2 linked regions of the Caenorhabditis elegans genome follow. The protein of the gene in region 1 interacts with the protein of each later gene in a pairwise test. Each region holds a gene or a part of one and is shown in the gene's direction. Other genes may lie near its edges. The genes, in order: cog-1 and unc-37.

Region 1 (8,212 bases):
GAAATTTCTAGGCCGTGAAAAGTTGAGTCACAAATTTTTAAAAATTCGAAATTTCTAGTCCATGAAAAGTTAGGCCACAATTTTTTTAAAATTCGAAATATCTAGGTAATAGAAAAGTAAGGCCACCAATTTTTGTGAAATTTAAAACTTAAGCAATTAAAAAAATTGGTCCTAATTTTCAATGGCCTAGAAACTTAACTTTTTAGCAACAAAGCTACCAAAGGACTTCTCCCCTCATGATTTCCAGAAACAGTATATTAATGAGCCAAATGTTCCCCCGGATTAAACTCGTACCCACCTGGTCCATTTCCCCCCTATGAAAGAACAATTTCCGTGTGATTTCCCACAGACACCTCTAGATCATTACGTTTCGGGTGGTATAACTCTAAAAGGTGTGCGCCATGTGATTATGATTATTATGATTATGAGCCACTTGTCCTGAGAGAGAGAGCACGGGCAAATTCATTTCATTTCGTAAACGTTTTGATTAGGATTTGATAATAAAATGGGGGTCTCTAGTAGCACCTGCTATTAGATATACATATGTATTTCCGTAAAAGGAATTAGATATCCAGGTTCCTTAAAGGTTTCATTGTTGGTGTCATAGTTTTATTTATATATGCATGTTTACTTTAATTATTTACAAGATAAAAACTACCAAATTTTCAGGAAAGTTAGAAAAATTTTATAAGCTTTTTTTAAAAGAACCTTCGGGTTTTCTAGCCACCCATACCCCTTTCTTATTCAAATTTTTTAGTTCAAAAAGCCTATAATTTGGCAGAATATTTTAATCTTTCAATGATCTTTCGTAAATAAAATAGAAACACGTGTAATTATGAGTAATAGCCAATTCCAAAAATTACTTGGCATTTCGAAAATGGGCACGAAATTTGTTCTCAAATGTTTCGGAATTTTTAAGTTTGACGTGTAATAGTTGACATCAGCGGAAATTGTCTACTTTTTTGAGACGTTTTCATCTTCGGGCGGCAAACGATTTTTTCCGGCAAATCGGCAAAATGGAAAATTAAAGGAATCGAAATTTCTGTCAAATTTGCAAATTGTCGGAATTTAAAATATCAGGCAAATCGGCAATTTGCCGAAACTAAAAATTTCCGGCAAATCGGCAAATTTGCCTGAAAACCGGCAATTTGTGGTTTTGCACTTTTTTTTTTTGAAAATTCCAGAATTTGAATTTAAATCGGCAAAATTTTACTCACCCTATGAATGTTCCTACAAAAAAATTCAAAAATCGGAAAATAGTAGAAAATCAAAATTTCCGGCAAATCGGCAAACCGACAAATGGCCGGAATTGAAAATTTCCGGCAAATTGGCAAACCGGCAATTTGCCGTATTCGCCCACAAAAATTATGCCGAACGGCAATTGGCGCGCACTGCTCATTATTTTTTTTCTGCAAGATCCCAAAAATTCAGCCTAATATCTCCCAGATTTTTTTGTATTACCAGAATTACCAAAAAAAAACTAATACATTAATACGAATTCAAGAATTGTGACAGTAGTAATTTATCGCATTGTTTTTCCCCCAAAAAAATAATATTATTATTACTATTTTCTTAGATTCCAAGTTAATTCTTGGTTAATTCATCTCTCTCCCCCCTCTCCGAATATGTCAAACACTCGGATATTGTTTTTATTTTTTTTATAATTTCTTCTTCTTCTTTTTCCACCAATTCGCATTTAGTATCCAATCAGTTTAATTAAAAATGTACAACTTGAACAAGAAAATAAATGAGAGAGAGACGTATTAGTGAGACTGTATATTGGAATATATTCTTGGTTTTCTATTTTCCCAGTGATTCTGGGAAACGGGGGAATTTTTTTTAATTAGAAAAAAAAAATTTTGAAATTTTTTGAGTTTTTTGGAAACATATAACTTTTCAAAAAAAAATTACAAATTTATGGCTATGGAAATTTTAAATAAACATTCAAAAATTGTTACAAGGATTTTTTTAAATTTAAAACTATTATTATCTTGAAATGCCAAATTATTCTTCATAAGTGCCTGCCTATCGCCTACAGAATTAGGTACACGTGTAAGGCAGGCATTGGATGCCATGTAGACAATTATACATTTTTGTGCCTAAATGGAATTAAATGTTAAATTTAAAAAAATATATTGAAAACAGTTTTTTTCGAAATTCTAGGAATTTTTAAGATATTCAAAAACAGTTTTACCCAATTTATAGAGTTCTAAACCATTTAAAAAATTTCAAAAACTAAAAAAATTACAAAATCACTCTTAAAACCGTTTTTTTTTTAATTTTTAAGTTTTGGAAAATTACAACAAAAAAAACGTTTCCTCCCATTTTTTTGGATTTTTTAATTTTAGAAATTTAATAATTATCACTTTTTCTAAAATTTATAGCCCAATAGTCTTCTGTGTTGTGTCAAAGATTTCCATCCAAGATTTTTGAGCGCTTCTCAATTTTTTTTTTGCAAAAACTTTCACTATACCGGATTAAATCTTAATTTTTCATCTCTTCCTCCAAACTTCTTCAATTAATTTTTATATTAATTTTGCAGAACAATCTCCCCTCTACCATAACCAGATGAGCCTAATCATGTCCGAACCGCCACAACTCACGACGCCCGACGACAAGGACGTCGAGAATCGGAAGCACTCCTCCACCTACAGTATTTCAAATTTGTTGCTCGAGAAGAAGGAGTCGAGCCCGTCGGGCAGTTCCAGTGAGGATGACTCGGCGAGCAGCAATGATGATGATCAGCGGAGTCCGTCGGCAACTTCTTCATTCATTTTTCCGCCAGCTTCATCGTCCTCCTCGTCGGAAAGTGCCACGTCACCAACACAGATTATGGCTCAGCTTATGGCAAATGGTGGAGCAGTTGACCCGGGTCTTCAGGTTAGTGAGCCTCTTATGAATTCTCTCCTTTTTCCAAAAAAAAATAATTAGGCAATTTCCAAAACTTTTCGGCAATGTCAGGCAGAAAATATTTTTCAAAAAAAGATTACCGTAAACTTTTCGGAAGTTTTGGAATTTTTCGGGAAAAAAATTAGGTCAATTTTCAACAATGTGCGTTTTATGAATGTTTATAAAAAATTATTTCGAAAAATTTGGCCGGCATTTTTAAAAGCTAGATTTGGCAATTTTGAAATTGTCAAAAATTTCCAAACAATCTTCCTAAAATTTCAATTTTTCCAGGCATACTTCTTCCTTCTACAGTCCCAGTTAAACAGCCAATCAATGATGAACCGAGTAACACAGGAAAACGGTACGTTCCACTGAGCCCTTCCTAATTTAATAATTATTGGTGTCACTGTGCTCATTGAGCAATACGGGAAGGGGGAGCCTAAATGATTCAGGAGGGGGCCAGCTGCCTGCTACTGTATTCATATGTGGGTGCCTGGAGGGGCAACAATTGCATAATAATCACATTAGGAGTCGATTAGCCGAACATGTGTTCAGATAGACAGGAATTTGAATAATTTTCGATTTTGATGAATTCATAAATTTTGGGGGACGCAGAGTTTTAAGCCACGTATCTCAGGGCTCATGACAGCTATCAAAAAGTTGTCAACTGACAAACTATTGGAAATATTACAAGCTATTTTTCGCCAATTGACCAATTTTTGATAACTGCTCTGATTTTTGAGATATGGTAACTTGTAGTAATTAGCCATGTTCCTCAAAATTTCAATGCCAAACTTTGGCAGCTCATTTCTCGGAAATCCTTGAATGTATAAGAAAGTAGTCAACTAAATGTACCAGACAGCTGTCACGTAAGGTCGAGTTTCATGGCAGCCGACAAATTTCAGTTTTTCAAAATCAAATACTGCCAACTTTCTTGCATGTCTGTTAACCCATTAAGCGGCATCTGGTCTCAAATGCCAATTTACAACAATGTGTGAAGCTCGTAAAACTTTCGAGAATGCAACACACTTGGTTTTACAACCCCTCACCCATATGCCAGGCTACCGTAATAAAAAAGTTATATGAAGACAGTAGAGGGGGATAGTTATAATGAATCCAAAAACTTGCAAGAATCAAGGACGGCGTAATTAATGAGCCAGTTTGTGACGGAACACTGGCTAATTGACAGTTTACATACACACACACAGACACACGCACAATGGACTTTCCTTCGAAAGGTAGCAATAAATTGTCGACTAGCCAAAAAAAAGTTATATTTTCAATGGAACACTTTCCGGATCTATCTCTGAGAAGATAGGTAATATGCTAACCTCGGAAAACCAACACACGGCTGATTGAACACGTTTTCATCATAAATGCGTGGTGGTGGTGGAATTAGGTGCAACAAAAAACTAAGGAGGAAGGTCAGACTACTATGTACACATATGGCTTCCGGAATAGACACGCGGCGCCAAGGGAACGGGTGTATGGGGGATATGGGGAGTTAAGGGATTTATTTAAGGGAGAACTAGCAACCGACACATTGGGGGTGACTTTTTGTGACTCCATTTAACTATTGAAATATGCAACTTTAGTTGACAGCTTTTTGATAGCGTTGAACATCATGGAGCAAGGGTGTGCGGCAAACTTGCCGAACTTGCCGAATTTTCCCTTTGCCAAATTTGCTGTGCTCAGCAAATATAAAAAAAACAATTTTCTGAATTTGCCGAGCTCGGAAATTTTCAAAACTTGCGTGGTGGGCGGCAAACTATTTTTCTGGCAAATCGGCAAATCAGCAAAAATGAAAATTTCCGGCAAATTGGCGAACCGGTAATTTGCCGATTTGCCGAATTTGTCGGCAAAAAATTTTGCCGAAATGCAATTCTAATTTTTAAATTCCAGTAAGCCGAGCTCTCACCTCCTTCAACCTGCTCAACAACCTGCCCGGCGCCCTTCCATCACTCTCCCCAATGGGGCGACTCCAGCACTCAATGCAACTCTCCCCGAACTCCCTGAACATGCAGAAGAAGCAAAGCAGACCCACATTCACCGGCCATCAGATCTATCAGCTGGAGCGGAAGTTCGAGCAAACCAAGTACCTAGCCGGAGCAGATCGTGCACAGCTCGCCCAGGAGCTTAACATGAGCGAGAGTCAAGTTAAGGTAGGCATTTGTAGGCACTTTTTCCCGTGCAAAAATTGCTTTTTCTTCATCAAAAAGTTTGACAAAAGCGGGGTAGTTGAGTCATCATTCCAATACCTATCATTATATTATTATTATTATTATTATTATCATTACATTATGATTGGTACATGATATAGAAGAAAGACACCTCGTCATCATTTTCTTCTTCACACATTTATTGACAAATGGAAAAAGTAGTGGGGGACCGAATTTGCGATTCGGTATCCGGTTACTGTACACATGATACAGCCCATTTCACATATGATTGAATTTCGGAGGGAATATATGTTAGGAATTGGGTTTTATGTATATGATCTTCTAGAAAATTTGTAGAAAAAAGATAACCCAGGAAAATGGGACCTTTTAAATGTTATTATTTTTGGCAAATTGCCGGTTTGCCAATTTGGCGGAATTTCTTAGTATTGGCAATTTGCCGGTTTGCCGGAAATGTTTACAGGGATTTTTTATAAGATTGAAACATTTAAAACTGTGGTTGCGTACAATTTTGCCGGTTGAAATTGAAATTCTGAAATTCTAAAAAAAACGTGCAAAACCACAACTTGCCGTCTTACCGGCAAATTCGGCAAATCGACAATTTACCTGTTAGCCGATTTGCTGAAAATTTTAAATTCTGGCAATTTGCCAAATTGCTGATTTGCCAAAAAATTTCTATTCCACGTGTCATCTAGTCTATTTAATGATTGCTCATAGGATAGTTATGCATAATGGATGTTGTACAACAATTTTCAAACATCTGCCCAATTTCTTGTCTGTTTTCTTTCCGGAAATACTATCGGTCCCTCGGGAAGGCTTGTAGCAGCAGCAGAAGCCGCGGAGCAGTTCATTTCAATTCAAATATTTTAATTTTATTTGATATCATGTGTCGTCGAGTTTTGAGTAGAGGAGGATGGAGATGGACTTATGAGTGACGGATAGGGAAGATGGGAGGAGGAAAAGTTGAATAGAAAAAAAAACATTGGAATAAGTTTTTCATTGTTTCGGAGGGGTTTTGAGAATAATCTCGGCGACCGGAAAAATTCAGCATTTTGTGGAAAAATGTGGAGAATTAAAAAAAAATTTTTAAACTTCGGCACTTTCGACAACATTTCATTAATTTCTGCTTCTGGAAATTTTTTTTAGTTAAAAATTTTCGAAATTCGTAACTTTTGGAAATTTGAAACAATTTTACCACCTCTAAATTGTTGAAACTGCCGGATTTTGGAAAATTGACAATTCAGTAACTAGATAATTTTTTAACTTTTTTTTTGACAATTTACGAGAGCTTTTCCAGTTTTTGCCAAAAATGTCATAGAAGTTTGTCAAACTTTTAAGTTTAAATATGGAAGTTACACAAAGTTTTTAATTTTTCTGGACAATTTTTCAATTTTTAAAAACTGCTACATTTTTGGAACTTTTTGACATTTGTGGCAATGTCAACTTATTTGATTTGATTTATTTAACATAACTAATGCAATTTACAACAGTACAATTGAAATTTGAATGTTAAATAAAAAGGTAAAAAACAAAACTTTCAAACTCTACTAAAATATTGGCACAAAAATCGCCAAGTATGAAAATTTTTTACCAATTTTTCAAATTGCCGCAATTTGAAGCCTCAATTTTTTTTTATTTTTCCGGATTTTAGAGTATTTATGTTAACAGATCCTTGCAAAAGTAACGCAGATCCTTGCAAAAGTAACGCAGATCCTTGCAAAAATTGCACTAACCAAAATTCACTAAATTAACATAAAATCCTACAGTACCCCAAGTAACTTGAAAGTTACAGTACCTCTACAGCACCCATATAAGTCTAACTTCATTTAAACTACAGTAGTACTATAAACTATTTTCTAAAACTACAGTAGCCCATAGATTACTTACTTGATTAAAAAAATTGTATGTGCTTTTACAGTACTCCCATAAATTGAAAATCTCTTAAAACTACAGTACCCCAAACCTAGCTCTAAAAATAATTTCCCTGCTTCCAGGTGTGGTTCCAAAACCGTCGTACAAAATGGCGCAAGAAGGAAGCGGCCGACAATGCACTGGTCAAACGTGGTGCCAGCGGCGACAAGTCTCCTTGCTCACTGAGCCCATTTCTCAGCGCTGGAATTTAGCTTTTAAGCGTTCTACCTCTCCCCCTCCCTTCAACCGAGTGTATTATTCCCCCAATTTGTTTGCAATTTTTTCCTGAAGCCCTTTAAGAAAATCCAAAATCATGACCTTCTTCCGTCTTTACACCTGATTACCTGAATACCAACACCCCACACAGATGCCATGATCTCTCGTCTTTTCTCGTACTTTTGTATAATTTTTTTCTTAATTTTTTTGCATGTTTTCCCATAGTTATAGCCATTTTTTTTTCTTTTTTTTTCCAAATCATCGTCACTTATACAAAAACCAAACTCCCTTTTACCGTTAAACCATGCCCAAATACAAAAAATTTCCCATTTAATTGTACGTTTTTTTCTCTTCAAATTGGATTCTAATGACATAAATTTATTAGATTAAGTAATCGTTGAGGCATATTTACAGATACCAAATATTGTGGGGAACACGAAAAATTAATTAATTATCTATTCGAGTTTCGTTTTGATCGTCTGGAGAACGTTCATGAGCACGTCGAGGGTCGATGGTTGGGTTTCTTCGGCTTTCTGGAAAATTGAAAATGTTTGAAATTTATAAAATTGGCCTAGAAAATGCCTATGTGGCCTAGAAATCCCTTGTGGCACCATGGTCTAGAAACTACGTCAGTGCCTAGATCCCCTAGGAACTCCCCCACCTACCTTGTAACTTCTGAATTTGGACTTCAAGCAGCACACATTCTGAGCACACTGGTCGTATTGTGGAAGGCACGAGCAGGCGGTGGTAGGCACGTTCACGTACATCACACATGTGGTTGTCAGCGGGTATTGGGTGGCCGCGGTGTCGGCATATTGAACCGGGCTTGAGGAAGTTGGCATGGTTGGGGCCTGGGTGGTTGGAGCCTGGGTAGTTGGGACTTGAGTGGTTGGCTGAAAATTGTAAGGGTAAATTCGAAAAATTGAAGGGTTATTACCATTGGTGTCGGGGTGGTCTGAACTGGAGCGTACTCGTAGGTGTCGTATTGAACCTGAAAATGGTCAATTTGCAAAATAGTC
Region 2 (6,159 bases), on another chromosome or scaffold:
TGTGACCTTCAAGCTACAAAATTATATATTTGAAAATCTTTTTTTTAGACATTTTCAAAAATATTTTTAAAGAACAATTCAATTGGATATCGTGACTTCCGAATCGATATGGAAGTTCTTCGCAACAAATTGAGCGGGCAAGCTAATGAAGAAGTTTGTGAACCGTACGTTTTAAATTTCAAAAAGTATTGTTTCTCCAGTTTATTATTGAATCCTCTTTTGTTTCTTTAAATAATTTTCAAGTAACGAGATGCTTTCAGAGCCACCAAACGAGGCCGTAGGGACCCAAGTATGGAAGATGAAGAAATAGAAGAAACTGAAGAGAGTACAACATCTGCAAGAAGAAGCTCCGAAGAACCCGAAGAGCCAAGAGATCAAGAGAACACTGTTGGAGTGGTATGTGTACGAGATTTTATGAGTTGTGTAACCACTACTTGAGCTGATTAATTCTAAGGCCGAAAAATATTTTATTTGGACAAAAACTTTAACTCTAAAAAATAAAGTTTCAAAAAACAATTCGGCAATTAAAATTTCGAAAAAATTAAAGTAAGTCTCCATATCTTTCAAAAATCTTACAAATGTTAAAATCCAAAAATAGTTTACTGTTTCAACAATTCCTATGATGTTTTGAATAAAAAAGAAATCATTATTTTTCAATATAAATTGTGGATATTCGGTGCGAAACTGTTTCAATGCGCTGATTAATAGGACCACATTTGTGTCAAATGTTCATTTCAATTTGTGAAATGATCTAAAACAGCGGCATCCCAGACATAAAATGTATGTAGTTCCAAATGCCTCGACCACATACATTTTATTATTCTCATTCACCCATTAAACATCCCTTTTCCATCAACCGACATCAATTTGACCCAAGGTGACCCTTATATGGGAATTTTCTATTTCTGGAACATAAATCTGACTTTCATTGTATTCGTTGTCATAATGATGACATAAAGTGCAAACAAATGTGTACACCATCGTCTCACCACCATCTGTTACACACATCCAACCAATTATCGCCTTCTCGAATCTTTGAATGTTTATAACCACCCATCACATCCCTCCTTTTTCGATAAAATCTAACATTGTGGGAAATGAATGTGTCAATTACTGAAATGAAATGATTGATCAAAGGGCATAACCTTGTTAGTTGTTGATAGCTTCATTTACCTTAATCCTTATATAAATTTACGCTGCCCTTAAATCAAGTGTCGTGTTCAAGAATATATTTTTCACGAGACGACTTGCACTCTTAATCTAAAAATGTATTTTTAGGTGAAGCAGGAGGTTGATGACGAAGAAGAAAGTGTCTCCAGAGGCACGAGTCCAGTCTTCTGATCAGTTAGCAATGAAACGACAATTATATTTGATTTCCTAATGAGTTTAAACTCTCGAGTTTTTATATGTGTAATATATTCTTCAACACTCCGGAATGCTTCTAATTAGTTACAAATGACAAAATGGAGCTTCATTCATGTTTTGGTTTTTTTTTAAATTTTCATGACTGCTACAGTATACCGTCTTGTTGTTTAATCTAATAGAATCATTCAAGAGTTTTTATTCTTTCCATTTGAATCTCAATTTTCACTATTATCATTTGATTCTCATCTCATTTTCTTACCGATTTTCAATCTCAAATTATTTAAGAACATACCATGTCAATAAACTTATTATTTGTTAAACATGATTTTTTAAAAATATTTTCTTCAAGACAGGTTTATGTCTCTTTATTCAATATTTCAACCTTTTCCGTTTTTTTAGATAATTTTGTGAGTTTTTTATACTGGAATTGTGATTATGTACATGTAAAATATTTATAAATGCTTCTCTCTATAGTAAGTTGCAGCTTCATCGTGTTTGATTCGAAATATTAGTTAGAAATCCTCGGATCCTCGTGTTACTTGAATATCAAACTTATTGGATACATTCATCTTCTACACTCGGGCTCAAAAGAGCTCAAAACAAATGTGCTCTATCGACAACTCCTCCCCCCATTCGGTCACCCATTCAGCGTCGCATTCATCGCCGCGCGTTCGTCCTCCTCGACACCAATACCTCCTTCATTCTTCAACGTTAGTGGGGCTATATGACCAGTCGTTTTGCAATTAATGTATGATTCTCTCCGTCTACACCACTGGAAACCCATGTCCTCTTTCTTTGTTTCTTCGTCTCGTTGTCAACGTCTATTCAAACCACGTGCTATTTCTTGAGTTTTGTTGTCTTCTCCCAATCCATCACTAGTCTGTTCTTCCTTGCATTTTTTTGATCGAATTTTTAAAACTCCTCTCATAATTTTTATGTTAATAATTCACTATCCACTTGATTGTATTTAATTTTCAGTAAAAATGAAGGCATCGTATCTGGAAACCCTCGATCGAATCAAAGACGAGCATGCGGAAATGTCGAAGCATGTCAACCAGCAACGAGTAAGCTTAATTTTGTAAGAGAAATTTTAGTATATTGAAAACAATTTTGCAGTCGGATATCGAAAAGGTTGCGTTAGAGAAAGAAAATATGAATAGATCGTATATGACGTACGCTGAAGTATCAAATACTCTTCGTAGCGATCTTCGAAAAGCAGAAGAAATCAACAAACGCCTTCAGGAATTCATCATGCAATCGGTAAATTAACTCGTCAATAATGTTATTAAAAAATCGAACAAAAATATAGAAAAAGCTATTACAATTTTTTTGTTGAAATATTTGAACTAAATATTATGGAAACGTTATAATATCTATTGGATTGTACCTTGTTCAACTCAAACATGCTCCTCTTTCCATATATTCATTTATAAATAGAAGAAAAATTATTATGTAATATTTTTAATTCATAATAATCAATTTTAGGTAATATTATAAATGTATATTTTTCAGTTGGCTCCTCAACTATCTCAAGATAATCAAGCAAACTGCCTCGCCGCACTGGAAGCTTTCAAAACCGCATCACCACGTGAAAATGGAAATGGAGCACCAGCACTTCCACCAGGTTTTCCTCCCGGTGCAGCTGGAATGCTTGGAATGATGCCAAATATGCCATTCGGAATGAGCCCTGCAATGAGTCAACTATTCAATCAATTCGCATCACCACATGTCAACGGTGGAGATGGAGCCGGTGGAAGTTCTGGAGGTGCAAGTGAAGCGAAAAAGGCCAAGCTGGAAGATCCAGATGATGGAGAACTTGAGATTGATGTCACAAATGATGATCATCCAAGTACTGCATCAAATGGAGGCGCAGCTAATAAAAATGGAAGAGATAGCACAAATAGTGTTGCCTCATCGGGAGCATCTACACCGAGCATCGCATCAAATTCTAGAGCAAGACAACAACAGCAGCCACTCGCTGGGCTTCAAGGATTGGAGCAAATGAACTTTTTAGCTGGATTCAGTACGTGTTTACAATCTTTTGAAGTGTGCTAAGTGGAGGGAGCAAATACCAAAACTTCAGGCAATGCCAAAATATTTCAATTTTCAGATCCAAATCTTCTCCGACAAGCTAGTGCTGCTGGAGGATTCAACTTTTTGAATGATCCCCATGCACAGGCCCGTCTTGCAGCTGCCATCGGGCAAATCGGTAGCAGACCGGCCTATTCATTCAAAATTGTGGACGGTGGAGTTCCAACACCTACATCCTTCCCTCCAGATGCACAGAAAGGTCCCGGAATTCCGACGTAAGAAAATATAATAATTGGCTTTGATTCAAATTTGAAAAAAAAAATTGCAGAGGTCTCAAGAAGAAAATGGAATTAAATCACGGAGAAGTAGTTTGTGCGGCCACAATTTCCCGTGATAACAGTCGTGTTTATACTGGTGGAAAAGGATGTGTTAAGATCTGGGATGTCAAAGAATCAGATATTTCTGGCGCAACGGTTGTGAATCGGCCTCCAATTGCATCCTTGGATTGTCTCAAAGAGAACTATATTAGATCTTGTAAACTCTTTGAAGATGGAAATACACTTCTGATTGGAGGAGAAGCCAGTACTGTTGCTCTTTGGGATCTTACAACTGAAACAAAAACTTTGGACTTGGAAACTGATTCACAAGCATGCTACGCGTTGGCGATGTCACCAGATGAGAAATTATTGTTCGCATGTCTTGCTGATGGAAATATCCTCATTTATGATATCCATAATAAGGTGAAAGTTGGAACCCTACCTGGACATCAAGATGGAGCATCATGTCTCGATCTCTCAAAAGATGGTACAAAGCTCTGGTCAGGTGGTCTTGACAATTCTGTTAGATGCTGGGATCTTGCACAACGAAAGGAAGTTGCGAAGCATGATTTTGCGAGCCAAGTTTTCTCTCTTGGATGTTGTCCAAATGATGAATGGGTGGCTGTTGGTATGGAGAATAATTATGTCGAGGTTCTGTCAACAACTGGAAAAGAAAAGTATCAATTGACACAACACGAATCATGCGTCCTTTCGCTCAAATTTGCGCATTCCGGAAAGTTCTTCATTTCAACTGGAAAGGTATGTTTTGATTATACTTTGTCATTTACCGTATTTCTTCTATTAGTATGGCCTCCCTATTAGACTTGCACTCCCTATTAGTATTGCCCCTCGGAGACCTTCCAAAAATTAGTATGGCACTCCCTATTGCACTCTCTAATAGTCTTGCGTTTACTTTTTTTTTATTGCAAACCCATCTCGCTAATTTCAGGATTTCAACAATATTTTTTGCCTATTGTGCAACAATTTTTCACAAAATTTATACGAAATTGAAGTTTTTGAACTTATAGGTTACAATTAAAATCAAAATTTTTTGTATTTTTACATAAGATTCGAGCTTTTTCAGAAAAAAACTAGTAAGCTCAAAGTCAGAAAAATATTCTGAAAATTAGTATTGCACTCCCTAATATTCTTGCACTCCCTATTAGTCTTGCAAGCGGGAAGACCATCGAAAAATAGTATTGCAGCCATATTAATAGAAGAAATACGGTAATTGGCTCAATTTTTCTAATTGAAACCTCATAATCTCAATTTTTCAGGACAATGCTCTCAACGCCTGGCGTACTCCATACGGAGCATCACTCTTTCAACTAAAAGAGAACAGCTCCGTTCTCTCATGTGACATCTCATTCGACGACTCACTCATTGTCACTGGATCAGGGGAGAAGAAGGCAACTCTCTATGCAGTTGAATATTAATTTTTTTCCGCAGTGAATTTATGATCATGATACTCAAAACCCCTATTCTGTACGATAATCGTTTCATCTCTCTCATCTCTTCTAATTTCGTTTGTCAAATTTTCGTATTTGTGTACCCTATTACGATTAATGTCACTCTATGTTTAAAACATTTATTTATTTGCACTACAAAACAATGATGATCTGACTTGACTTTAACAGCAATTAATAAAACATTTCAAAAATCTGAAACTCTTCCCTTCCTCTCCCAATCACCATATCGAGTTGGCTCTGGTCCAGCTGGTCCACCAACTTCTCCAGTTGACTTATTCACACCTCCCGGATGTTTCTTGAGGTGAGGATCTTCATATTGTTGTTCGTCTGCTTTATCAAGTGCTCCTTTCGGTGTCTTCTCAGCCATCACCTTCTCCTTCGCACTTTGTTTTGGTTTTATATCTGCGAATCGGCGGGAAGAATCTGAATCGTCAAGAAATTAGAAAATTGTTTTTTGTGTAAAATCCATACTCAAAATTGGACGAAGAATCTGACGAAGCATTTGATCTGAATATTTTTTTTAATTGTTTCAATAGGACTAATCTTGCGACTAAAGTTACATCGATATCTCCAAGGCTCCACCCATTTTTCCTTCAGTAACATATGAAAATATTGACAACAAATCTTTATCACATATATAAAAGTCCATAGAAACAAATGTTCTTTGATGCATTTCAAGAAAGTGGGCGCATAAGATCAAAAGAATAGGATAAGAGCTAAGGTAATTTAATTGAACATGCACTTGTACACGGCATAAATGACAAGTCCCATTGTAGTTGGAATCAGGAAGTTGGTCCATGTTGGTGAAGTCATAATTTCGGTGAAATCATTGAGGAGAGATGATGATTTTTCGTTTTTCGAAGGTTTCGCAGCCGCTGTCTCGACTTTTGGAACGTCTGATTCTGGCAATTGACCAATGAGATATTCATTGGCCATTTCAATAGCATCTTTTGAGTGCCCAACATCGAGGAATCCAA

What was found.
Region 2: the proteins of cog-1 (region 1) and unc-37 interact in a two-hybrid assay, tested with the Caenorhabditis elegans proteins (2 studies listed by BioGRID).

The regions. Positions count from the first base shown.
Region 1 is NC_003280.10:14,899,951-14,908,162, forward strand, and holds cog-1 (Homeobox domain-containing protein), read left to right. Parts: upstream 1-2,542; 5' UTR 2,543-2,568; coding exon 2,569-2,880; intron 2,881-3,179; exon of another isoform or gene 3,180-3,180; coding exon 3,181-3,250; intron 3,251-3,384; exon of another isoform or gene 3,385-3,443; intron 3,444-4,791; coding exon 4,792-5,051; intron 5,052-7,060; coding exon 7,061-7,189; 3' UTR 7,190-7,583; downstream 7,584-8,212. Other genes in the region: R03C1.1 (Cell wall protein DAN4), read right to left, coding at 7,649-7,726, 7,859-8,086, 8,131-8,184.
Region 2 is NC_003279.8:6,741,514-6,747,672, reverse strand, and holds unc-37 (Transcription factor unc-37), read left to right. Parts: upstream 1-2,343; 5' UTR 2,344-2,348; coding exon 2,349-2,429; intron 2,430-2,481; coding exon 2,482-2,625; intron 2,626-2,877; coding exon 2,878-3,388; intron 3,389-3,475; coding exon 3,476-3,671; intron 3,672-3,724; coding exon 3,725-4,472; intron 4,473-4,990; coding exon 4,991-5,149; 3' UTR 5,150-5,366; downstream 5,367-6,159. Other genes in the region: fnci-1 (FANCI helical domain-containing protein), read left to right, coding at 73-164, 261-396, 1,279-1,341; W02D3.12 (Succinate dehydrogenase assembly factor 4, mitochondrial), read right to left, coding at 5,367-5,605, 5,654-5,684; cytb-5.2 (Cytochrome b5 heme-binding domain-containing protein), read right to left, coding at 5,909-6,159. UniProt on the Caenorhabditis elegans protein: Transcriptional corepressor that functions with the neural specificity gene unc-4 to govern motor neuron identity. In concert with unc-4, represses the expression of VB-specific genes such as ceh-12, thereby preventing the adoption of VB motor neuron fate.